Linked DNA regions of Arabidopsis thaliana. The protein of the gene in region 1 purifies or fractionates together with the protein of each later gene. This does not show direct contact. Each region holds a gene or a part of one and is shown on either strand. Other genes may lie near its edges. The genes, in order: POLD2 and AT5G63960.

Region 1 (11,250 bases):
CTTTTACTTTATTTCGACTATGTTGAGATAAAAAATACATTTCAATTGGAAATATTGTATGTGTCACCTTCATGAATTATATAAACTCCAACTTTAATATTGTATCGTTTTTACACCATGTGTACACATTTACTTGTATGAATGCGAAAACGATTACAAATTACATGCAATATCGTACGTGGATCTCTGACCACAAAAATTTAATATCAATGATACTAAATTACAATATGCTAAAAATATAATGAATTAATGTCTTAAGACATTCCAAAACGAGGATTTTGTTATAGTTGGAGGGGTCCCTGGACTTCCTTTGGATTCATAAATCTCATGTCTTCGGAGACAGCCTGACACATCTCTTTCATCAATATTCAATATAAGTGTAATCTCATATTGTATGTTAATTATTCAAACTATAGTTTATCTATTGAATCTCAACAAGACATCAATCAATATTATTTGCCTTTATTAATAATATATTCAGGATCTTTACGTTCTGCTACGATATAAACTAGAAATACGAGTTGACAAAAAAGAAAAAGAAAAGGAAAAGGATTAAACATATATTACCTAGTTGTCACTAAAACTTGTACATCTAAAATAGTTGATTTTTCTTTACCATTTTCTTCTATCTTTTCTCCTATATAACCTTAACCTTATCACATTTCACTTACCAAAAAAAATCACCAACTCTCTCTTCTGATCACATAAACCCTAATTTTTATTCTTCTACAAAACTATGGAAATTGAAGCTACTACTGTTCAGAAAAGAAGAAGCTTACCAACAATAGCCATGCACAAACAGTCAAGAACACTCACCAAATCTAAACCTAAGATCCGAATCATTCACATATTCGCACCGGAGATCATTAAGACCGATGTCGCCAACTTCCGGGAAATCGTCCAGAATCTCACCGGGAAACAAGATCATCATCACCACGATCTCCCCCACCAAAAGGGTCTCAAAAGAAACCCTAGATCTAGAAGAAGTCATGATCATCATGAAGTCCATGACATGAACAAGAGCCATGGATTTTGCATAAACTCAGATGAAGAGGAAGAAGGGATGGTGTCGATGACGTGGAACGGAAATGGTGACGAGAGCTCCGGTGGGTTCTTGAACGGGTTAGGAGATCTCGACGGCTTCATTCAGGAGCTAGGTGAATTTCCTTATTTACCCTTCACCATTGACCCTGCCGTTGCTTCTTCCTCCCACTTACATGGCAACGTTTTCGCAGAACCTCACCATTACGCCTAAAACGTCTCAAGCGGAAGAATCTTTTAAACATTTTATTTCTTTAAAATAGGTTAAAACTTTTAATAATTTTTTGTTTTCTTCTTTTATATACTTTCTAGAAGCTAATTTTTGTTTTTTTCGATAATTGAAATGTTTGACTTTCTAGACAATATTCTTGTGGAATCGTGGGAGGTTCGGGTTTACGATTATTACGAGTTCTATTTCTGCATAATTTTTTCCCTCTGGTTTTGTATTTTTTATATGATTACACTATAATCTAGTAAGTAGGTATGAAATTTTATAAATCTATATAATTCAAATCCACATTATAATAATGATAAATCACAAATAGAATTTCGCAAACTTTTTACCAAGAAAATCCTTATTAAATATGTAAGGATTATGAAAATCTATAACAAAATATCATTGGGATTGGCTATAGCGTAATTAACTAACACTATCTGAATATAATGGACGTTTAGAAATTCTATGTATACTTTTTTCCTCACTTGCGATGTGTTTTTCTCGCTTATCCAAATGGACTGAGAAATAGACTTATTGATCGATTGACTGATACTTAACATAAGATAAGTACAAATGGGACCATAATTAATCAAGATAACAAATATAATATTTTAAAATTACAGATATGAGCCGACAAGTAACCACAATTACAAACGTGTATATATGCATGTGTGTCACGGTGGTGATGGTGATGATGCATGATGATGATGGAACTACACATGACACATCAAAAGATAACCCGCATCATGTATTCATATTTGATCAAGTTGGCATTATAAATCAACTAAGAAAAATATTAAATCTGAGCTGCCTCTTACATAGAAAGAGTTTATTAAGATGATCAAAACAGAGAATCTGCAAGTACTTGGATAACTTGAGAAGATTTGCCGAGCGAACACAAAAGAAGGAAGGGGTTTTGATGTATGGAGATGACCCTCAAGTTATTAACGTCATACATTTACAGACACCAACTTGGTGGTTGGTTCTTGTAATATAACACACAGAGAACATAGGAACAAGAACAAGAACAATGGCTAGTCACATCTAACTATCATATTCGATAGTTTCTACAACGGTCGATGATGGTGTTTCTATCCTCGTTAGAACTTCAGGCACTCCTTCGGTATCTCTTACTATCTACGAGAAAAAACAACCAAAAGCGGATAAAACTCGGTTAGTGCAACGATCTCAGTCTCTCTCACCATTCTTAACAAAATATTCAACAAACTTACAAGAATCTCTTCATCTAGATAAGATATCATGAAAAATCTTTCAAAGGATCCACCTGAAGCAAACATCACTAGTTGGTTCAGTGCAGATTTGAGCGGAAAATGGTTAAATGTATAAAAAATGGATAAAGTAGCTTACTAAGGGGAATTCTCAGACCACTGGCTAGAGTATCCTTGATAAGAGCAGGAAGCTGCTGCAACGTTGTGGCAGCTTGTCCCAAAGCGCTTTTTAGCTGTTCAGGAACTGCTTCTTCAATGACTGTTGGAGTTTCAAGCATACCTTCAACATATTCTTCTTTCAATCTCAGTGGTCCCTCAACAGTCAATTTTGATGACAGAATGATTTTGCTTTCTATCTGCATTTTTCTGCCACTGTGAGAAACCTCCTTTGTGATTCTGAGTAAACAAATAATCAAACTTTGGAAAAAGGGTTTGAGTGTGTTACCGAGTTCAAAAGTTTGATATTTGCAGTCGCCTTTGCGTTAGCATCCTTGATCAGTATCTCCATTCTTGATAAATTCGCCAATGTTGAAGGAAACCTCCTGAAACAATACAATCAGATGGCAAAACACTTAAAACGTTGAATAAAGTTTGGTGAGCTTTAAGATGAGAAAATGATAAGTACAGACTCGAATATAACTCGAGCAGCGAGTAAACCAGGACTTCCAGATCCAAACCACTCAAAATTCCACCTGCCTTCGAAACAAGGAGACCTGGAAAGCTATAGGAACCAGTTAAAAGACAATTATCCTAAAACCGAAGCAAAAAATTGTAACCAAAAGATTAAAGAAGGACCTACGTGGTTGGTCTCGGAGTTGGATTAAGCCGCTCTAGACTCGTAATCCTCTCATTAACATCGATCCTTTGCATATTAGTTGTTTTCCCTGTAACTAAAGCCTCAAAGCCTCCAGCATCCTTCAACTGTACATAGATGGCTTCAGGACAAAAATAGTTTGACAGTTCCAAACACACAGAGCTCTGTTCCTATACTAAGAAAAACTCAATTGAGCTGAAACATGATCATTCAATTTCTGGACTTTGAGAAAAAAATTCTCTTTTGTTATCTGCAAAATCTCGATTACATCTAACAAATACACAATTCACCTAAAGTCTTCCCATTTATCCTCAGCTTACGACAGAGATAGTAAAAGAGACACAATTTCAAAATCAGAGTAAAATTGAAGATCTAAACAAATCATATATTCACATAACAACCAAGTAATTCAAAGAGTTTATAAAAGTGAGAGAAGTTATACAGCGAGAAGTAGCGATTCCTTAGCAGAAAGGCGCTCCATTTCTCTGGCGTAAACCAAAGGAGATCCTTGAACTGTTTCCTGCACCATTGCTCTTAAAACCCTTCTCCGGCACGAATTCTTCCAACCCTGCTTCACCACCGGAACATTGAGACAAAATCTCGACGGTGACGCTGAGGTTGAAAAAACCAATCGAACCGCAGACGTACCAGGAACCGAACCATGTATCAACGCCATTGAAGAAGAAGAAGAAGAAGAAGGTGAAAAACGAAAGATTGAGAATTTGTTTGCTTTGAGCAACCAAACCTCAGGAAAAAAGAGTTAAGGTGGGAGTGTCTGGTTCAACCGGTTTATATCCGGTTCAAATTAAACCTCTTACAGTTAACCGGGTTTTGTGTTTGGTTCGATTGTTCATAAAAGAAAGAAGACTCTTGTCGTCGATTAGTGCCAAAGTTGAAAGTTGAAACCTTTTCTCAGAATTTTCTGCTCAGTTCTGAGTTTTTTTTTCCCGCCATGGAAATCGACTCCGAGAAAATTCACGAAAGGAAGCAATCCGATTACAATTCGCTGGTACGAACTCTATTACTTTATCGACTTGTAGTGAAAGACAAATGTAATCATTCGTGGTGGTGACTGTTTCTACTTATAAGTGTACGGGCTAGGGTTTGTTATCTGATTCTGAGTTTTTGCAATTGAAGCAGGATGAGAGATTCGAGATACAGAAGGAGATGTACAGAGGTCAGCAATACAGTCAGATTTACTTTGCTCGTCTTCATCTCATGAGAACACTTCTCTACTCTCTTGCTCCTACTTGGAAATCTCATTTGCCTGGTCAGTGCTTTTGTTTCTCTCATATTTAGCACAACAACGAAGAGCAGTTTTTGAGAATTTTCTTGGGTTAGATATAATTAGGTGAAATCAGTGATTTTTAGGGATTTTTGCTATCTTATGGATTACAGTTGAGAAAGATTGCTAGTATTGTTTAAATTATAGATCTGAATGTGAATTTCATTTTTGCAGTGTGTAAGGTTTTGGGACTTGAAAAAGGAAAAGAATGCATAATTGTGGGAACCTTGTTCAAACACATGAAGCTTAAACCTTGTGTTCTCGATGAATATTCTAAAGAGGTTGGTTTTTATTAACCTCTACTGTTTTTTTGAGCTATGTCTATGCTGAATCAATCTGAGTATATTTAACATAATGCAGAGGTCAGTTACTCCGCTTGTTAAACCACATAACTTTATGCATCCTGATGATAATCTGATCCTCGAAGACGAGAGTGGGAGAGTTAAGCTTGCTGGTTCCGCACTTTCACCTGCGATTTATGTGACAGGTATTGCAAATGGGTTCTTACTGTTTTTACTGTATGATTTTTTCCTTCTTTACAATGTGGCAAATCTTAGAGATTTTGATCAAGCTTTCCTCTCTTAAAAGATGGGTTCTTTAAGAAAATTAACGTTGAAGCCTCCCGTGCATTGTAGGTGTTGTTGTTGCACTGCATGGGAAGGAAACTAATGCTGGTGAATTCTTTGTTGAGGATGTACTAGAAGCTGGTTTACCACCTCAGATTGAGCGGCCTATCGATCTACGTAAGTCTAGCTATGTTCTCTTCCTTTTGCTAACCTCATGGCTCAATCATTTCTATAAGCAATCTCTCATGATACATCCATATTGCATCTGCAGAGGAAGATAAATATGTCGTGTTATTGTCGGGCCTTTGTATTGGAAGCAAATCGGCTAATCCCCTGCAGTTTCAGCTTCTTGTTGACCATATAACTGGGCATCTCGGAGATGAGGAGGTTCAAATCTCTTAACTTGCAGGTTGTTCAACATATTTCTTTCCTTAATTTATACTTTATGGTTTGAACAGGAACAAGGCCTTGCAGCACAGATAGTTCATGTAGTAATTGCTGGAAACTCTTTTGAATTTCCCCGCAAACTCATTAATGGCCAGGTACTTATAACTTTTGTTGCTGATATATTCTCAGATACAGTTCCAGTAATTATCTGCCCCAGTTATGTCTTATGATCTTTATTGGTTGATCTTTGTAGAACTTGGCCTCGAAAGATCAATCGACACTGTATGAGCCCATCAAAGAGCTTGATATCATGTTAAGCCAGGTCAGTTAACTGGATCTACGTGTGTGTTATCGATATCTATTGAGATGAAAGTTCAAACTCCTGTTTTTTTTTTTGTGGATTGTTTTTAGATAGCTGCAGGAGTTTCAGTAGATATCATGCCAGGCACGAATGATCCAGCTAACTTCGCATTGCCTCAGCAGGTCTGCAAATACATAAGAAACATTCAAAATCCCGCATTTTGTATCGATAACTCTGATTCATAGGCCCTTCTCTTTTGTTCAGCCTCTGAATAGATGTCTTTTCCCTGGATCTTCACCTTATAACACCTTCAGATCATGTACAAATCCTCACTCATTTGATGTCGATAATATCAGGTATGATTATTATTAATAGTTGAATACAATCTCTCTGATTTTACAACGATAAAATTCTTGGGTTTATCTGACTGAAAACCTCATATGGGGGCATTTTGCAGATTTCTTGGAACTTCTGGTCAGAACATCGATGACCTTGGCAAGTACTCAGAGGCTAAGAGCAAGCTTGATTTTGTGGAAAGAACGCTGAGGTGGAGACATCTTGCCCCAACTGCACCTAATACACTCGGTAAGAATTCTCCTTGCCCTGCAAGATTACTTTTTTGAACTAAGCCCATAAAAAAATGATCCTTTGAGTTCTATTTGGTTTTGATTCACTTGCGTACAGGTTGTTATCCTTTCACCGATAGAGACCCTTTCTTGATTGAAACCTGCCCGCATGTCTACTTCGTCGGGAATCAAGATAAATATGACAACCGTTTGATAAAGGGTAAAAGCACCTTACACAGAGATTAGAAATAACATTCTCTTTTGTCAAACATCAGGCTTTAACTTTTCTTGGGTAAATATGAATGCTGCAGGGTCAGAAGGGCAGCTTGTCCGGTTGATCTGCATTCCTAAGTTCTGTGAGACCGGTATTGCTGTTGCGGTGAGTTTAAAATTTGAGCAGAATTTGAGACCATTTACCCTCATAGATTGCAGATTCTAAATCTCAAAATCACCATGTCTATTTCGCAGGTGAACCTAAGAAATCTGGAATGTCACACTTTAAGCTTTAGCACTCAGATAAACCAATCATAACATTGAGTTGCTACTTTGGTAGATTATTTCCTGTCTTGAAGATGTAATGTTGAGCTTTTTCAGTAACACACTCCTATGTTCTAACCAAATGTTTGTTAAAAATCCTTTTTCTTGAGTGGAACTTCCAAATCTTTGGATATATTGGTAATGCTCATTGTTTTGTCCTAATTTTCTAAAAATCTCGACACGAGTTCTTAGGTAGTCACATAAAGGACAAAAAGGGCCGACCAGATAGTGTCGTGGTCGTTGGTCAGAAGAACGTGAAAAGACTGCAAAAATAATCTTAAAAAAAGCAACAAGTGCACAGAATCTCATGCAAATGTCTCTCTCTCTCTTCTCAACGGCTATATCCATCCACACTTATTACATTATAAAATTAATTAAATGCAATAATGTAACGCATTATATTCTCCAACGGTCCATTTTCCCGCATTTCCCTAACCTTTCCTTTATAACGCAAAACAGTTTCATCTTCTACACTTAACACTTTAATCCTCTCTTTCTCTCAATTTCTCACTCACTACTTGTCTTTCTTACATTACCGAGAATATGGATCTTGTTGTTATCACAGAGACTACTATTCCGACGAAAATCACTCACGTGAACAAGAAATCCTCCGACGAATTGCTCCGTAAGTTCGCCGATCCTGACGACGTCGACGAGTCGTCAAAGTCAACGAAACGCCGGAAGAAATCAGCTAAGAGTTCTTCTCGAGAGAAGGGCGTTGACATCGAAAGTAACACTAGTGGCTTAGTGGAGAGGAAACGGCTCTTGCTTGCCCCGGCGAGTAAACGGAGATCTCTGTTTATCCGGCAGCTTGCTTCTGGAAAATCACATCTCAGGAACAAGTCTCTCGTCAGAACCATCGGCAAGGTATAATAATTACTGAATCCAATTTCCATTAATTGATTTGTAAATTTCTTTATTTTTAAAATCATACTCTGCTCTAATTGGTCAGACATGGCGTAAAACAATGGAAGGAGCTTCAAGAGTTTTCATCGAGAAGCATTATAACAGACACAGGCGTCTCACCAACGACGTCGTTTAAGCTTTTTCAATCTTTTTTTCTTTTCTCACTATTTTACATTCGTTTGTATTATTCTCACGTTTAGTGTTACATCTTTCTCGTCTTTTTTTTTCTTTTTTTTTTTTTCCGTTTTAACTCAAATCACGAAATCCTTTGCTCTTTTGACCAAACATAGAAATATATTTAAAAAATCAGATATATTTGAAATCTCCCATTACAAGTTTTCACCAAATTAAACAAAGCATTAAAAAGAAAGCATAATTAAAGAACATGATGACCATCATGATTTAGAATTGCTAAATTATAAACTTAAAAGCATTTCCTGTGAACAATCGCCCCTCCCTGTTCGTCATACTCAGCTTTAGTAATCCACATCTGCATATAGACATCGCAACTTTACATTACAACACACCAAAAAGAGATATCTATACGCACGTTAAATTTATAAAACAGTTAATAATATTATCATATGTACCGGTGCAAAGCTGCTTAGAGAAGCCAGAATGGAGCCTCCAACCCAAACACTATATTTCCTTTCGGGAGGAGCCACAACTTTTATCTTCATACTAGGCGGTGCAAGCGCATTGATCTCTTTGTTCATCCTATCTGCAATCCCCGGGAACATCGTCGTGCCACCACTCAACACAATGTTTCCATACAAATCCTTCCTTATATCCACATCACACTTCATGATCGAATTGTAAGTCGTCTCATGAATACCAGAAGTTTCCATGCCAATCAAAGACGTCTGGAAAAGAACCTCAGGGCACCTGAATCTCTCAGCTCCTATCGTGATCACTTGACCATCCGGAAGCTCGTAGGTTCTATCGATTGCCGAGCTCGTTGTAGCCTTCTCCATTTCTTGCTCGTAGTCAACAGCTATGTAACAAAGCTTCTCTTTGATGTCTCGGACTATCTCACGCTCGGCGGATGTGGTGTATGTGTAGCCACGTTCCATCATGATTTTCGTCAGATACTCGGTTAGGTCACGGCCTGCTAGATCTAGACGCAAGATCGCATGCGGGAGTGCATAACCTTCGTAGATTGGAACTGTGTGGCTCACACCATCTCCTGAATCCAACACAATACCTAACCACGCAGAAATTTAACAGATTTAGGACCATTGTTATTACCAAAAAAAAAAATCACATTTCAAGATTTTCATAAAAATCACATTTATATAAAAAAATATATATATTTAAAGATTTTGCATGTGAACGATATTACATACCTGTGGTACGACCACTGGAATAGAGAGAGAGAACGGCCTGAATACCAATATACATACTAGGAAAAGCAAATGACTCAAACATGATCTGAGTCATCTTTTCACGATTGACCTTTGGGTTAAGAGGAGCTTCAGTGAGAAGAATAGGGTGTTCTTCAGGTTCCAAACGCAGCTCATTGTAAAAAGTATGGTGCCAAATCTTCTCCATGTCATCCCAATTGCTAACAACACCGTGTTCGATTGGGTATTTAAGTGAAAGAATACCTCTCCTGGCTTGAGCTTCGTCTCCCACAAAGGTATCCTTCTCATCCATTCCTACCATCACTCCCCTGTGTCGTGGACGACCCACAACGCTTGGAAACACAGCTCTTGGTGCATCGTCTCCAGCGAATCCCGCCTTCAAAATGTTTTACCAATCATTAGGATTTAGGTCTACAATATACATTGATTGGTTGCTTACGTTTATATTTAGTATACATTTTTCTAACTCATTATTGCCCAACCGGAAGTACATAAAGGAAAAAATCTTTTGGTATTCGTAAATGAAAACGGGAAATAGAAAAAGTTTTTTTTTTTTGGCGTTTTCAGTACTTTGCAAAATATTTTATTTTCTTAACTTTTTGAAAAAATTTAAATGTAAACGCAAAGCAAATGCGTAAATAGTGTTTGAAACAAAGGAAGCATTATAGATTTTTCATCAAACAAAAAAAAAGCATTACAGATTAATAAAGAGTGTTTTTAGTTTCTCCTTACCTTGACCATTCCAGTTCCATTGTCACACACGATAGCCACGGATTCGTCACCTAGATCCGACATTATCTAGAGTATACATATCATGCATGTTTCAAAAAATTGGTTTTCAAAATTATTATCATTATATACCTTCAAAACGTACACAACTAAATAACAATCAGTTTCGGAAAAAAACAGATATCGTATACAGAGATCATGTTAATTCTTATGTTTAAGGATAAATTAGCTCGAAATATATACCTAATAACTACAAACGGATGGTGTTAGAAAAGAACCCTAGTTATTGCAATGGCAAACATCGCTGCAGTGACAACAAAAAAAAAATCACTTAAAGAATATCGTTCTCTTACGTTCAAAAATTATGTTCTTCTCCTTCTTCTTCCTTGTCTCGTCTCGGCAACAAGAATCCTTCTGACAAAAATCCTATCGCTTTGTTTCGTTTATAAAGAGCATGGAAAAAGAGACATGGGTCCCACACTAGTAGGAGTCAATTTTTTCCCCCTTCCAAATAAGTGCAATTTTTCCTAATCTTTTGAATTTTTTCTTATTTTTGATTATAAATTATGTATGTAAAAAGAAAAAATCTAACAAAATTAAAATGATATGAATGAGCCAACTCAGCGCTACTGCTTGCATGTTTTGGCCGACCTTGCCCTATATAGTATATATACTATATATGTCATAATATGTATCATTGTATCTTTATAAAAACTAGATTAGCTTTACTTTATTGAAAATAATAAAAAGTTACCATTTTAACCCAAAACAATCTTATACTAAATGAGTAAGATATACTTTTTTTGAATATTAATGAATAACAATGCGCCATGTGTAACTAGAAAACCATCAACCATGTATAGTGTAATAGTTTAATTAGATTCTAATTTCATATAATTTAACTTATCAATGATTTGAATTTAAATAGTCTCTAATTTCATATATATGTTTCTTGATTTATGATTTCAAATTTAGTTAAGGTTAATTAAATGGTGACTCATATTTAATAATTCTAATTACAAAGTAAATTCTAACTATTATGATTGAATCAAACCAAAATAATTATTTTAATAAAATATGTTAAGATATTAAGAATTAAAATTGGTACTATAGTATATGTAACCATATGTAATGTGAACTGTGAAGGAGATTGTTTAGAATTAAGAGATCTTTTTATTTCTGAAAATGCTAGTATGTAGCAAATCTCATAGCTTGACCCGTAGAATAAAGTGCAGTTTGGAACAAGTTTTTGAATCATTTTTTGAGAATACATATTTTTGGTTAAATTTATTGATCAACTAAAGACAT
Region 2 (13,783 bases), on another chromosome or scaffold:
GTGGATGTTGTGGTTGAAACATAAGTGAATTTATAGGTGGTGAAGATACAAAAAGGCTTCTTGATGAATGAAGAAGCCCAATAAAAACGGTTCTGGGTTAATATATTTTGAGGGAATCAAAAGCCCAAATAATTTTCTTCAGACAAGAGCTACAGCTTTGCCACGTTGTCCACATGAATCATGTTGAAATTTGGTCTATGATTTTGGGTTATGGATAAATCATTAATGACGCAGAGACAAGACTAAAAAAGATTTCTAGATTGATGATGGCGTGTGAGAGAGCAAAATACGTTTTGATTATTTGCCGGCGCAAGCAAAGGGTCACGTTCCACTAACTTTCAAGATTCAACAAAACCCACTTTCTATAGTTTTATATGTTCATTTTTTTCTGCTAAAGTATTTTTATATGTTCATATTTCTCTTTTGTGCCATCTTTTTAATAATTTAATCTTCCTACAGAAGATAATCTCCAACAAAAGTTTTTTCTTACAAGAAAGATTCCGAGAAGTCTTTTGTGTTTTCAACAAACTCCAGGTTGATATATACTTGCCACTTGTGTAACTGTATCTTTTATTCTTGATTTTGATTGGTTTCTTCTCCAAAGATTGGATTTCTGAAGGTTCTTGTGCTGCAGGGTTTTTTCAATGAACATGAGCAATAAACGTAATCAGCAACCTTCGTATATTGCTGATCATTTCAGCAGTTTGGATCAGGTCTCATAAACTTACTTAGTTATTTCTTGATTTTAGTCTCTTTCATAGTGATGAATTTCTTGTGAACTTTGCTTTTTAGGTGATAACTTCTCTGAGAGAAGCTGGACTTGAATCTTCAAATCTGATTCTAGGAATTGACTTTACCAAGAGCAATGAGTGGACAGGTAATTATTTGATTTGATAAAAAATGCTACACATGTTTACGAAAAGATTCAATGGTTTTGGTTAATGTTCTGAATTTTCATTGCAGGGAGATATTCATTCAATAGAAAAAGCCTTCATGCCATTGGTAAAAGACAGAATCCATATGAGAAAGCAATATCGATTATTGGTCGTACTTTGTCTCCCTTTGATGAAGATGATCTTATACCTTGTTTCGGTTTTGGCGATGGTTAGTTTCTTATTTCTTGCTTTCAAGATGAATGAATAAGATAAACCAAAGTTCTTAATGGTTTTATGTTTTCTTCTTCCTGCAGTAACAACGCGAGATCAATATGTATTCAGCTTTTATCCCGAGAACAAAAGCTGCGACGGATTGGAAAACGCAGTTAAAAGATATAGAGAGATTGTCCCACATTTGAAGTTGTCCGGTATTTTTGAACTTTCAAAAATGGAGCAGTTTTGTTCTCTCTTATCGTAAAGATTAATCAGTGTATTCTTCCCTCACAGGTCCTACCTCGTTTGCACCGGTTATTGATGCTGCCATCAACATAGTTGAGCAGAACAATATGCAATACCATGTTCTCGTCATTATCGCAGATGGTCAGGTCACAAGAAATCCAGATGTGCCGCTTGGTCGACTTAGTCCACAGGAAGAAGCTACTATGAACTCGATAATGGCAGCGAGGTAAAACTATTCAATAAGCTCATATTCATGATCAGACTTCATATGTATACTAATGATGTTTGATATAAATTTTCCAGCCATTACCCATTGTCGATAGTCTTGGTTGGAGTAGGAGATGGACCATGGGACACAATGAAACAATTCGATGACAATATTCCTCACCGTGAATTCGATAACTTCCAGGTAATATAATAAAACCCTGAATAGCTCTGTTTTGTTCCTGAAACATGAATCATGAAAAACTGTGTTTTGTTCCACAGTTTGTAAACTTCACGAAGATAATGTCAGAGCACAAAGATGCGGCTAAGAAGGAGGCTGCTTTCGCACTCGCAGCTCTCATGGAGATCCCTTTTCAATACAAGGCTACATTAAGTCTCAAGTAAATGCAATAAAAAATTTACCGTTGGAAACTACTTGTATCACTCACTGTTTATGGTCTTATTGCATTAGATTCTTTGCCAACTAAACCAACCTTTGATTGTGCTTATGAACAGTAGAAAACCAGTGCGCAGTTCCCATCAGCACCACAAGCCACTCCCGCCACCACCAGAGGTTATAGAGCGTGACAATGCTGTTAGATCGGTGCCAAATCAGATGACAGAAACTGCAGAGAAAAGTGACAGACTCGCTCCTTCCACAGTGCCGGTAAATACTCTATTATTTCTGCCTTTGTTTCTGTTCTTTTGTCAATGAGTATACTCAGTTTCTCTGATACTGAGATTTACATTCCTTTTGTTTTTCAAAAAGGTATGCCCGATTTGCTTGACGAATCCAAAGGACATGGCTTTTAGCTGCGGTCACACGGTATGTGAAAATTTCAAAGGAACAATTATACTCTTACTTGTTCTATGAACTGTACTGCTTCTAGATCGATTTTGTGACATCTCCGATACTTTTTATTTCAAATAAAGACATGCAAGGAATGCGGAGTTGTTATCACAACATGCCCACTATGCAGACAACCAATAACAACAAGGATAAGGCTGTACACTTGACTCGGAAAAATTCTTAGAGATGAGACAAATTATATGGTTAAGCACTTGAGCTTCATGTTTATACTTCTGTAGAACATTGTACAGTCCAAGCAGAAGAATTGTAAAGCATAAATCTCGAGTTGTAGTTCATATGTAATTCTTAGCCTGCCGAAACAAGGAGATATGCGAGAAGAGTTCTCTTTTTGTATTAATCAACAGCTACGTACAAATAAGCCGAAGAGGTCCTTTTTATAACATTCCAAAGAGACCTACAAGTTCTAAATCAAGCGGAAAGTGTAACAGCAACGATACCAATGGAAAAAAGAGAGAGCTAAAAACAACCTTAAATACTTATTAGAAGCTCCAACGGTCGAGTTGTTGCCTGGCTACAGCCATGTCTTTTTGTGCTTTCATTCTCCGGTAAAATATTGGACAATCTCGACTGTAAAAGACCAATAAGAAATCCAGAAAGGAAATTGGATCAGAACCTATTTACCTGCTGAAAGATTTCTAAAAGAAATTGATATCGATAAAAATATAAGCAAACCTGGTGCACAAGACATCTTGATGAAGAGAGCCTTGACACTCCTGGCACTGTGTCCACAGCCTCCCAAAAACCTCTTCAAGCTCAGCCACTGAATAACACAACGAAAGTATCAAATTTTATAGATATATCAAAGAGTCTATAGGAAAGGGAAAAACGGCAGCATACCTTGAGACACGTTTTTGCAATATAACTCGGCTTCTCTTCCCTTGCAACTTGCGCATAGTGTTCCATTGCTGGTTGAAGTTAAAAGCGAATATTGATAAACAGATCCCATATATGAAAACAGATAATACATAGGCAAGGGACCACAAAGTACCTGATCGGAACTTTGCAGCCAACACAGCTCAGTTGTTTTTTAGCAAACTTCATTATACCGCTGTTTGAAGGAGTAGTGATTGATATTGACCTCGTGTGACTTCCATGGAGAAGCTCCTTGCTAGCATTTTTCAGGACTGGCTCAAAAATCCTAAGAAGTGGCTGAAAACAACATCTCCTTTAACCTACAATCACCAGAATAAAGAGTATAGAATAAACTTATACACAAACGCCATGTTGAACTGACCTTGCTAATCTGATTCTCCAAGTAGTAATTTGGGTCTATAGGGATATTATTCTGTAGCACGTAGATTGGATCTTCTGATCGTTCATAAGCCTATCAGACGTCAAAATGAGATAAGCACGGAAGAAGAGAATGACCTTAACATCTTATGGAAAAGCTAACACAAGCTTGACATGAAAACTACCTTGGCACCTTTAGCAGCTTTTATGATAACATACGGTACTCGATCTCCAACATTTGGCGCTGTAGCAGCATCCCTCTGTCACATATGTAAGCAAACACTGTCATATTCACATGATAGATCATCAGACACCGTAAAACAGATCTAAGTTTCAGAGCAACCTTTGTATGATATTATATATTCACCAAAAAGCCGGAAAAAAAATTCATATATTCAGCAAAATTATGCATGACTTAAGAAAAATCCCTGCACTTGTGCAGCTATAAAAAGACGACCAAAGAACCATATTAAAATATTATACAAGCCAAAAATTAAAATTTAATTGTTTAGCACTCCCATTTTTCAGTTTGAGAGTGTCCATGAGATGCTGGAATTAGAGTAAAGGAACGAAAATTCCCCTAGACACATTTGTACATGTTTCTTCACGAACGGAAACGGTCAAGAGTTATCTTAACATGTAATGAAAATGCTTAATCCTGCAAATGATAGACGAAAATAGATAAAGAGTACCACAAACCTTACGCATGCGTTCAGCAAGTTCACCATGAGCTGATTTAACTTCATAATCATCTCCTGTTTTCGTTAGACCCTATGATTTGAGGAAACACATCAGGAGCATTATCCATTTGATTCTTGTTTTAGTTTTAACAGATGGCTTTAATCATTAAAATACACTTTCAGGCGATACAAACATCACAGGACAATAAATCAAGTAAAACATATTACCTTAGTAATCACCAAAAGTGACAAGTCAATACGGTTCATGAGAAGATCCGAAATGGTTTTCTTGACATTTTCAGCTGCCCCTGGAACATCTCTATCAATAAGTATTTTGTTAAGACTCTCAGTCACGAGGTTCTTAACCAGTAAACAATTATCCCTTCGTACTGTCTCGATTCCTGCCAAAGTCGGTGATATTGAAATTTAGTCAGGAAATGAATAAGAGAGAGGCTGTAAAATCACGAAGATTTACCTTTGGTGTCCATTTTGTCAAACTGTTGAGGATTTGTCCATAGCAAACCAGCATACCTCTTCTTGTTAATGAGAAGATATGGGAAATAGACCTTTTCAAACTCCAATTTGATGGGCTTTATGACATCATACACAATCAAGAAACAGAGAACGATTCAGCCTGTTATATTTTGTTTTCAAGAAATCACGTAATCTTGCACCTCTACCCCAAGGATTAGGGAGAACCGGAGAAGTTTAAGACATGCTCCTAGAAAATCACTTACTTTGATAAAAGTTCCACTAATGTGTTCTGCAGCTTCCCTCCCCAAGGTCATCGCAGCTTCTACATCCGATACTCCAAATTGCACCATGACTGAATCCGTGTCTCCATAAATGACCTAATACATCATAGTCCATCAAATTCGAGAAATCTAAGAGCAAACTTAATGATTCACTCAAGTCTTTTCAATACAACGAATAATTCAATGAACATGTACCTCTGCATTGTATTGATACCCTCCCAGTGTTGTGAATTTGTCTTCAACAAGTTTCTTTGTTTGTTCAATCATCTGACGACCTTCAAAAAGATACAAATCCATCAGAACGAACCTAAAAGGCTACGTGTCTAGAAAAGTTGCAGTTTCACAAAAGAAATACCATAGCTAGTTACACTCGAGGATATTTCTAAGCATGGTAACTGCCCAACAGTGGCTCCCGTAAACCCGTAGACAGAATTTGCACTGATCTGAGAAAAAATAGAAAACAAATGTAAAAGAGCAATTTACAGGGAGGATATTGTTCGAAATTTTCCGAGGATTGTAATCATTTTTCTGAATGACCAAGTTAAAGAAGCTGGCAGTAAAGAAGTTCACCTTCAACGCTAACTGTCTACCATCTAAAACAGCCTTCTCAAGGGGATCCTTAGCCTCCTAGATTAGACAATACCAGTTTCAATAGTAGTAGTTAAAGGCTGTATACAGATACGCACACACTGCAAGAGTTTCTTCGGAATCAAATGTTTTACCTTTAAATCTGCTTTAGCTCTCTTACGGGCAGTAAGAAGCTCTTCGAGAATTTCTGGAAGTATACCCTGAAATAAATTATTCATTTTGTTAATAAACTGCTGTCTTCCCTGAATTTATTAATTGGTTGTATTTCCTGAAAGAACTCATTCAACAGAATTTGCGGAACTTGAGGATAATAAAAATCTAACTAAATGCGGAAACCTTTTGCAAAGTTTGCTTAACAAATGTTTCCCCTGATGGAGTTTTAGTGACATGTTCAGGTGGAAGATTCAGTTTGCGTACATCTTCAGGTGTCACCTTCAAAGACAAGAACATGGAAATAATGCTCCCAAATTAATAAGGTGTATAAACAATAGATGATAAAATAAATAGAAATTGAAAAGAAAATATCAAAAGAATTACCAAGGTGCAGTAGCACAGATTATATGCCATCATAATTGACGGGTACAGTGAAGCAAAATCCAAAGTTGCAATTGGCTTTTCATAGAAACCTGTTCTTGCTTCTAAAACCTGAATATCGTTTGACATATCCAAAACAACAAACATGTCGGAACAGTGGAATTAATGCAACCGATAGGCCAAAAGGAAATGTTAGATCCATAAATCACCCACTTACAGTTGCGCCTTCATAAGTTCCTTGTTCGGACCCTGACTGTTTAGCATTTGGAAGAACCAGATTTTTCTGTTTGCCTTTCCTAAGAAGCTGAGATAAAACCTAGAAGCAAAGACACAATATATCAGCCACCTTATTAAACTGAAACACATCCAGAAACTAGAAGTTGAGAACTACCTTGATACTCTGTCCTCTCGCAAGAAGAAATGAAATAGGGACACCAGTTACACGAGCCATTTCGACATAATTATATATAAACATCAGTTTGTCCAGAAGCCTCTGAGGAAGATATGCATCCTGTAACAGAGAAAAGAAACGTGGTGAAGTTGTAGCTTCTTGTAATATTTAGTTGGTTGACTATTAATAGAGAAGCAGCTAAGTTAGTGTCTGAAAATCCTTCCACACATCCTACGAAACACATTATTCCATGTGTCACAAATATCGCCAGCAATTGCCAGAAGTCCTTCAAGCCTACCTCACATCCAGATTCCAGCATGCTCAAAAAAATCATGAATGGACATATGAGCAACCATTTCTATACACCCTTATCTACAAGGTTTCCTCTTGCCACACGTACAAAAATATAAGCAGAGATTACTAAAAAAGTTTTTAAAACACACATCAATGTTCATCTTTTACACTAGAAAGGGTGGGACTTGGGACTCCCATCATAGCTTGGGACAACATGCAATAGGACCTTTAGGTGGTTAGACAAGCTTGATAGCTAGTTAGAAAATCTTAAAGTTATCTAATAACAGGCAATGCATCAGGACATAGACAGCACTACTCCAGAATAAATAAAAGTAGGTACCTTCAAACAATAAACAGCAAGACGCCTCCTGGTTTCCGCATTCCCATTCTGGAGATCAGTTATTATAGAATGGTGGACATCTTCTTTCTGCAGAAGACAATCAGGTTAGCCACATGGAAAGTAGAAATAACCTGAAATTCTAAGCATAATTACTCGGTTTCACCTGCTCGGAAAGAAAGTGAGCTGAGACAGAATTCAGCGAATAAGAACTTAATTTGTGGTCTCTGTGTATTGCCTACAATAATTAAAAGACGAATCAGGTTGATGTTACAAATAAACAATCTAAGAATGACTCAACCAAAATGAATTTGTTAAGGACAAAAAACCTGAATAAGGTCAAACTGAAATCTTCCTTCAATTGTGGTCTCTTTACTTTCTCTTATTCCTTGTTGTCTGAAACATGGCAATATAATATTATAAGATGCGAGTTTAGAGAACTCATGAGGCACAAAAAGCATGAAGCATAACAAAAAAACAATAGAGAAAGCGATGGAAGTTAGCAAGCACCAGTTACTCCTACATCACCTTGATGAAAATGTTGAGTCCCTGACCCGGACCCTACTGTTCTTTACACGACCAAGAAGAGGAAATTCCTCTATTCCCAGTGTAGCAGCTCTCTGAGAATCAGAAAACAGCATATTTTCTAGGTTAAAGATCCATCACATATACATGTGCCATATGACCCAGCGGAGCATAGCATAATATTACATATAGAATGCTATAAGAAAGAAAAACACGCTTCTGCTAACCAGAGGTGATACTGATCCGTCAATAAAAGTAAAATCTAATGTTCAAGTACCTCAATCAGATAAGGTAAATCGAATTTGCAGATGTTATAACCAATGATGATATCAGGATCAACATCACGAATCAAATCCTGCAGCCAATACATCTCATACATCAGCAGAACACATGTTTCACCAAGCCCACAACAAAATTGCAGTAGCAACATAAAGTTTACTAAATCTTTCACTGAGTCCTCCAGGATTTAACAACTGTAATAGAACTTACTTTTGCAAGCAAGGTGCCAAAAAACAGATGAAGAAGAAGTAATGCATATATAATAATGAAGAGGCAAAAACAATACCCTCCAAGCTAGTAAGACCTCTCTTTCTGTTTCAAAAGACATGACATCTACGCCTACGATTGGAGCACATGACTTAAGAGTCATGACATTGCGTACAAATGGGTGATCCTCTCCCTGAAGAGTAACAAGGTTCGCTATCTAGAAAAGCAATGAGAATGTTGTTTCAAGAAGAATGCAAACAAAGGTAACAAAAAGGTATATCAAAAAATGACAAAAACAGCTAACCTGGATTACAGGATCATGCTTAGCTTCCGGAAAATGTCCTTTACGACCTGCACACTCAATATCGAAACTTAGTACACGGAATGGAGCCATTTTTGAGTATTCACCTTCTGCAGCATGACTGATTAGATCTGAGTACCTAAAACCCATGTTAAAGAAAGCACTGGCATAAAATACAATATGTTACTATAAGCATATTATTGTTCCAGAAAAGAAATTCCGATGAGGATACAGGCAATGGAACTCCAATTGGCAGTATGACAAAGTTCTTGCATTTTTCTTATACTTCCCAGTAGGTACTTCAATCCAATTTCCTCCGACAATATCACAATCAACCATGAAACGGAGAACGAAAAGAATATTGCTTTCATATGTCTGGAAGCTCTTCATACCCAATCCATCAATTTGTAGGCCTCTATCAAGGATGCCTACCAATTTAATAATTACAATGACTTTAAATCAGTAAAGGATAAGAGATAGTAGACACATAGCGCACAAATATTTGGGAAGTCATACCGCGACAGCTTGCCACCATAGTCGGCAATGCAACTGTAATCTTCAGAAAAGTTTGGGATTTTTGCTGTTGGTAATACATAATGCTTCTTTTCTGCACCATTTCTATACGTTTAACAAATTTCGGGACCTTGGCATTTTTATTGGATTCCCTCATCCTTCCCTGAATGAATCAGCTGAGCTTTAAAACAAAACCAGCGAGATCAAAGTACAAAATATACAGAGATCTACATAGTAAATACCTCAAGACTCTGATGGAAATTAGAAATATCGTCTGGCCCCATTCCAGGAGGGCAAGCAATGTAAAAGTATGGCTCAAATCCATGAACAAAGCAACACACACTGTTACCTGACAATATACCAGAAACTCAAATCCAACGAAATCGTTCCCCACAAAGAGCAAAAGAAAAAGAGGTTTAAAAACACTCACCTTCTCTGGTAACCCCAAACATCCTAATGATTGGAGCTTGCCCTGAGGAACCCGGTAACAGCTCCTTATGACTCTCCGCGATTATAGAGTCAATCTCCAATTGTTGGAAAACTAAACAAATCAAAATACACAAATCCAAGTGTTGAGAAATTTTCCAGCAATCATAAGATGAAGAAGCCCTTATCAAACTAAGATAGTACTCAACTGATACTCTGTGAATTCGAGAGATACGCGGGGGAGAGCGGAGGTCGAGCCCAAGCCGAGGAACGCGATTCACGCTCCTCAATGTCACGGAGGATTAGGGATTCCTCATCTTCGTCGCCGTACAAGAGAGTTTCGTCCAGAAACACGTCCTCTTCCATCATAAATTCATCATCTAGGGTTCCGATGGCCGGAGATGGTGTTGAATCACCAGTGGCTCGATGCTTACCCGCCGGTGGTGGGGTATTCGAAGGAGGCGGTCGCTTTTTGGAAATACCGGATCTATTCATGGCTTTGGGTGAGCGGGAAAAGAAGAGAATGTGTGTGATTTTGTGAGCTCGTGGAGGTCTGAGAGAAGTAGAAAGTGAGACTATACACCACTCCGATTCCCGCCAGTTTTAAGGGTTTTGCTATTAGAGATTTGATGTCAATGTGAAGTTTTTTAAGGAACTTTTCTTTAAGTCCCTAGACAATGCTATTATTAACCAAATCGTTACGGACTTTTTCTTATTGTGGTTGCAATTATTTTGAATTAAAATATATTTTGTCGGATGACCAATGTTTAAGACTTTTAAGTGCTTATACGAAGTTTTGATTGCTAAAAAAAACGAATAATTGTAGATCAAAAGAGACAACCTTATAATAGAGTTCGATCGTGATACACATAGAATCGTTCATTGTTCATTTGATCTACAATTATAAGAGAATTCGACCTCTCTTTAATTATTTTATTTTTAGTATATCAGGATTCATGACCAAGACAATTAGGCAAGTGATGGTACACTTGGTAGCTAACTAGCTAAGGTTGATGCCGCATTTCATAATGGAACTTGGTTTATGTTGGAAGCAGAACTCGAACATGTCGAGCATCTTCAAATCAATAGAGTCTCCAAACTCTTGCAGCAAATTTTGTTGTACTGTATATGGAAGGAGCCAAGTATTTACCAAGGTAGTAAGTAATGAACCCTCCACGTCCACGAGCTCACAATTTCACACATTCTCTTCCTTTTCCCGATCATCCAAAGCCATGAATAGAGCCGGAAATTCCAAAAAGCGACCGCCTCCATCAAACCGTCATTTTTTGGTTCCATCATGAGATATTGAACAAATTATTACTTGTATTATCTGAAATGACTTGTAATATCTGAAATGACTTGTAAAAAAAGTGTACCACATCGGATGTTCTTGTTACTAAACAATTCAGACCAACGCAAAAAATATTATACTATTATATCTGACCAAAAAGGAAATAAAATCATATTTTGTTGTATTGTAGGTTAAATGTGAGAGAGAGAGAGAGAGAGAGAGCGCACAAGAGCCATTTGTCTCGGAACTGAGAAATCTTCAAAATTCAAAAAAGCCAAGGAAGGCGGGATTCCAAACATTCTCTTCATCATCTTCTTCTTCTTCTCACTCTTCTCTCCATTTATCACAATCGATCATCGGGAAACACAAACTCATCTCCAGAAAACGGTGTAGCAATGGCGGAAAATACGGCCAGCCATAGAAGAAAACCTCGGAGCTTGAACGATCGTCACTACAGTATCCTCCAGGATCTTTCTGCGCCTCCTAGACAGCCTCCCTCTTCTTCTCGTACGATTGTTCTCTTCTATCGTTTCTCTATGGTTTCGGATTCGTATCTGTCTTTGATTTTGAGTTTTATTTATTATATTTGGGGACTTCAGATGGAGAAGATGAAGAGACGAAGAAGTCCATGATTAAGCTTGCTGGACGACGTCGTCTTTGCAAGGCCTTGCCAAAGGAAGACGAAGCTGATGGATATGACGATCCTGATTTGGTTGATTTCTATTCCCCAGGTAATTTTGAGATTTCACCCGATTTTAGGGTTTTCGCAAACCCATGTCTCTTAGTTTACAGAAAGAAATTGGTGTTTCCGTTGATGATGTATTTCAATTTTGTCCTAGTAGCTTACTTTGAAATTAGGGTTTCTTCGAAATCTGAGTTTCTAGTCTGGTGTTTGATTTTCGGTCTTTATAGCTGTTATTATACTGCGTTTTGTCAGATAACTTTACTTGAATACGTTTGTTTTTGCATGATGCTCTAATCAGTTAAAGGAGAGACATCACTAGACAGCGCTGGAATTGGGAACAAATTCACATCTTGGGATGAATCAAAGGAAGCTAACACTGAGCTGGCTGGCGAGCCTAACTTTTCGATAATCACAGACTTTTGTTCGCCCTCACCTCAGTTGAAGCAAAAAGAGGAAATGCAAGGTGATGGAGGAAGGAACGAGATCATGGGTATTTTGGATGATTTGACCTCTAAGCTTGGGACAATGTCGATTCAGAAGAAGAAGGATAGCCAAAGCAATGATTTTGATGCATGTGGAGTGAAGAGCCAGGTTGATAAATTTGATTTTGAGGATGCCAAATCCTCATTTTCCTTGCTATCGGATCTATCTAAGTCCTCACCAGATGTGGTTACCACATATAATGCTGGCGTTAATAGTATCAAGGACAAGCAAGGCAAATCTGGTTTTGCCATCCGGGAAGAGCAAACTAGTAAGGAATTTTCAAGGGAATGGGAAGAAAGAATTTCGAATGTTGGAAAGCAAAACTCATATTCTGGTCGGCACTTTGACGATAACTCTGAAGATAATAGGCAGGGATACAATCTTGACCGTGGGAAGAGCCAATGCAAGGAAGTCGACCAAAGTATGAAGACGACCAGGCACATAGAGGTAAGTGAGAAGATAAGAACAGTCGGAAGGTCTAATGCTGCCAAGCTAAGAGACTTAGACGAGGATGATGATGATGATGACTGTCTCATTTTGTCCGGGAAAAAGGCGGCTGAAATGAAAATTAATAAGCCAGCTCGGTCTTATAACGCCAAAAGACATGGTTATGATGAGAGATCGTTGGAAGATGAAGGGTCTATCACTTTAACTGGCCTCAATTTGTCTTACACATTGCCTGGAAAGATTGCAACAATGTTATATCCACATCAGAGGGAAGGGTTGAATTGGCTTTGGTCATTGCATACCCAAGGGAAAGGTGGAATACTTGGAGATGATATGGGTTTAGGTAAAACTATGCAGGTACGGAAATCTGCAACCTGCACTTTTCTTTTCGTTATCAATAATGTATCTTTGATTTTGGTTGATTCGCATTGCAGATTTGTAGTTTTCTTGCTGGTTTATTCCACTCCAAATTGATCAAGCGTGCTCTGGTAGTGGCCCCAAAAACCTTGCTGCCTCACTGGATGAAAGAATTAGCTACCGTGGGACTTTCACAAATGACTAGGGAGTAAGAGCGACTTTCTTTAATTTGTATATACTGAACTAGTGTTTTAGTGATACTGATTGTCTTTCTTTCCTTTTTACAGATACTACGGTACTTCTACGAAAGCCCGGGAATATGATCTCCACCACATTCTGCAGGTTCATGTTCTTTCTTTCATTGTTCTCCTGAGAAATCTCACTGATACATTAACTATACAACTGCATTTCATTTACGTTTTCACTTGATTTGTGACAATGTTGCCCCTTCCTCTAGTAAATCATCTTTATATAAGCGTATTTTAATATTGCTTAGATTGATTAAACTGAAATAATCTATCATTTTTCCGGAGTTAATTTCTGATTGTTTTTGAAAAATGGTATGGGTTTCCCACTTGAATATCTTTAACTTTTGTAGGGTAAAGGTATTCTTCTAACAACCTATGATATTGTGCGGAACAATACAAAGGCTTTGCAAGGTGACGACCATTATACTGATGAGGATGATGAAGATGGAAACAAATGGGACTACATGATTCTGGACGAGGTAAACACATCAATATTTTATCATTTGTGAGGTCTTTGCACTAATAGTTGGTATAGTGTGTATGCACTATTGTCCATCAAGCGCTGAGATGTTACCATTAGTGTAGGTTCTGAATTTTCCCCCTACTGATATCAATAAAATGTATTTCCGCTTACACTTCTAGGGACATCTTATTAAGAACCCCAACACACAAAGGGCGAAGAGTTTGCTTGAGATCCCAAGTTCTCACCGTATTATAATAAGTGGTACACCAATCCAGAACAATCTCAAGGTATTATTGTCTATGACATTTAACGTTGGTCAGTTCTTGCAATTCTAATGCTG

The links.
Region 2: the proteins of POLD2 (region 1) and AT5G63960 fractionate together in Arabidopsis thaliana (co-fractionation; one large-scale study listed by BioGRID). This does not show direct contact.

What each region holds. Positions count from the first base shown.
Region 1 is NC_003071.7:17,558,969-17,570,218, reverse strand, and holds POLD2 (DNA polymerase delta small subunit), read left to right. Parts: upstream 1-4,186; 5' UTR 4,187-4,253; coding exon 4,254-4,310; intron 4,311-4,438; coding exon 4,439-4,571; intron 4,572-4,760; coding exon 4,761-4,867; intron 4,868-4,946; coding exon 4,947-5,073; intron 5,074-5,221; coding exon 5,222-5,329; intron 5,330-5,423; coding exon 5,424-5,539; intron 5,540-5,610; coding exon 5,611-5,694; intron 5,695-5,792; coding exon 5,793-5,861; intron 5,862-5,950; coding exon 5,951-6,022; intron 6,023-6,104; coding exon 6,105-6,196; intron 6,197-6,297; coding exon 6,298-6,425; intron 6,426-6,524; coding exon 6,525-6,626; intron 6,627-6,717; coding exon 6,718-6,785; intron 6,786-6,874; coding exon 6,875-6,937; 3' UTR 6,938-7,062; downstream 7,063-11,250. Other genes in the region: AT2G42140 (VQ motif-containing protein), read left to right, coding at 737-1,255; AT2G42130 (Plastid-lipid associated protein PAP / fibrillin family protein), read right to left, coding at 2,303-2,395, 2,491-2,543, 2,627-2,843, 2,933-3,029, 3,117-3,200, 3,287-3,408, 3,744-3,977; AT2G42110 (uncharacterized protein), read left to right, coding at 7,487-7,810, 7,896-7,985; AT2G42100 (Actin-like ATPase superfamily protein), read right to left, coding at 8,274-8,339, 8,440-9,053, 9,196-9,589, 9,946-10,008. UniProt on the Arabidopsis thaliana protein: The function of the small subunit is not yet clear.
Region 2 is NC_003076.8:25,595,778-25,609,560, reverse strand, and holds AT5G63960 (DNA polymerase delta subunit 1), read right to left. Parts: upstream 10,048-13,783; 5' UTR 9,965-10,047; coding exon 9,679-9,964; intron 9,585-9,678; coding exon 9,474-9,584; intron 9,393-9,473; coding exon 9,286-9,392; intron 9,207-9,285; coding exon 9,047-9,206; intron 8,959-9,046; coding exon 8,763-8,958; intron 8,670-8,762; coding exon 8,534-8,669; intron 8,447-8,533; coding exon 8,258-8,446; intron 8,099-8,257; coding exon 8,021-8,098; intron 7,839-8,020; coding exon 7,747-7,838; intron 7,615-7,746; coding exon 7,548-7,614; intron 7,457-7,547; coding exon 7,385-7,456; intron 7,309-7,384; coding exon 7,222-7,308; intron 6,708-7,221; coding exon 6,588-6,707; intron 6,513-6,587; coding exon 6,414-6,512; intron 6,308-6,413; coding exon 6,200-6,307; intron 6,095-6,199; coding exon 5,999-6,094; intron 5,863-5,998; coding exon 5,797-5,862; intron 5,702-5,796; coding exon 5,645-5,701; intron 5,518-5,644; coding exon 5,430-5,517; intron 5,350-5,429; and 23 more. Other genes in the region: RGLG3 (Copine (Calcium-dependent phospholipid-binding protein) family), read left to right, coding at 645-713, 793-877, 964-1,104, 1,190-1,303, 1,383-1,560, 1,638-1,743, 1,821-1,939, 2,055-2,205 and 2 more; CHR24 (chromatin remodeling 24), read left to right, coding at 11,156-11,267, 11,360-11,491, 11,744-12,732, 12,810-12,940, 13,020-13,074, 13,331-13,459, 13,623-13,730. UniProt on the Arabidopsis thaliana protein: This polymerase possesses two enzymatic activities: DNA synthesis (polymerase) and an exonucleolytic activity that degrades single-stranded DNA in the 3'- to 5'-direction.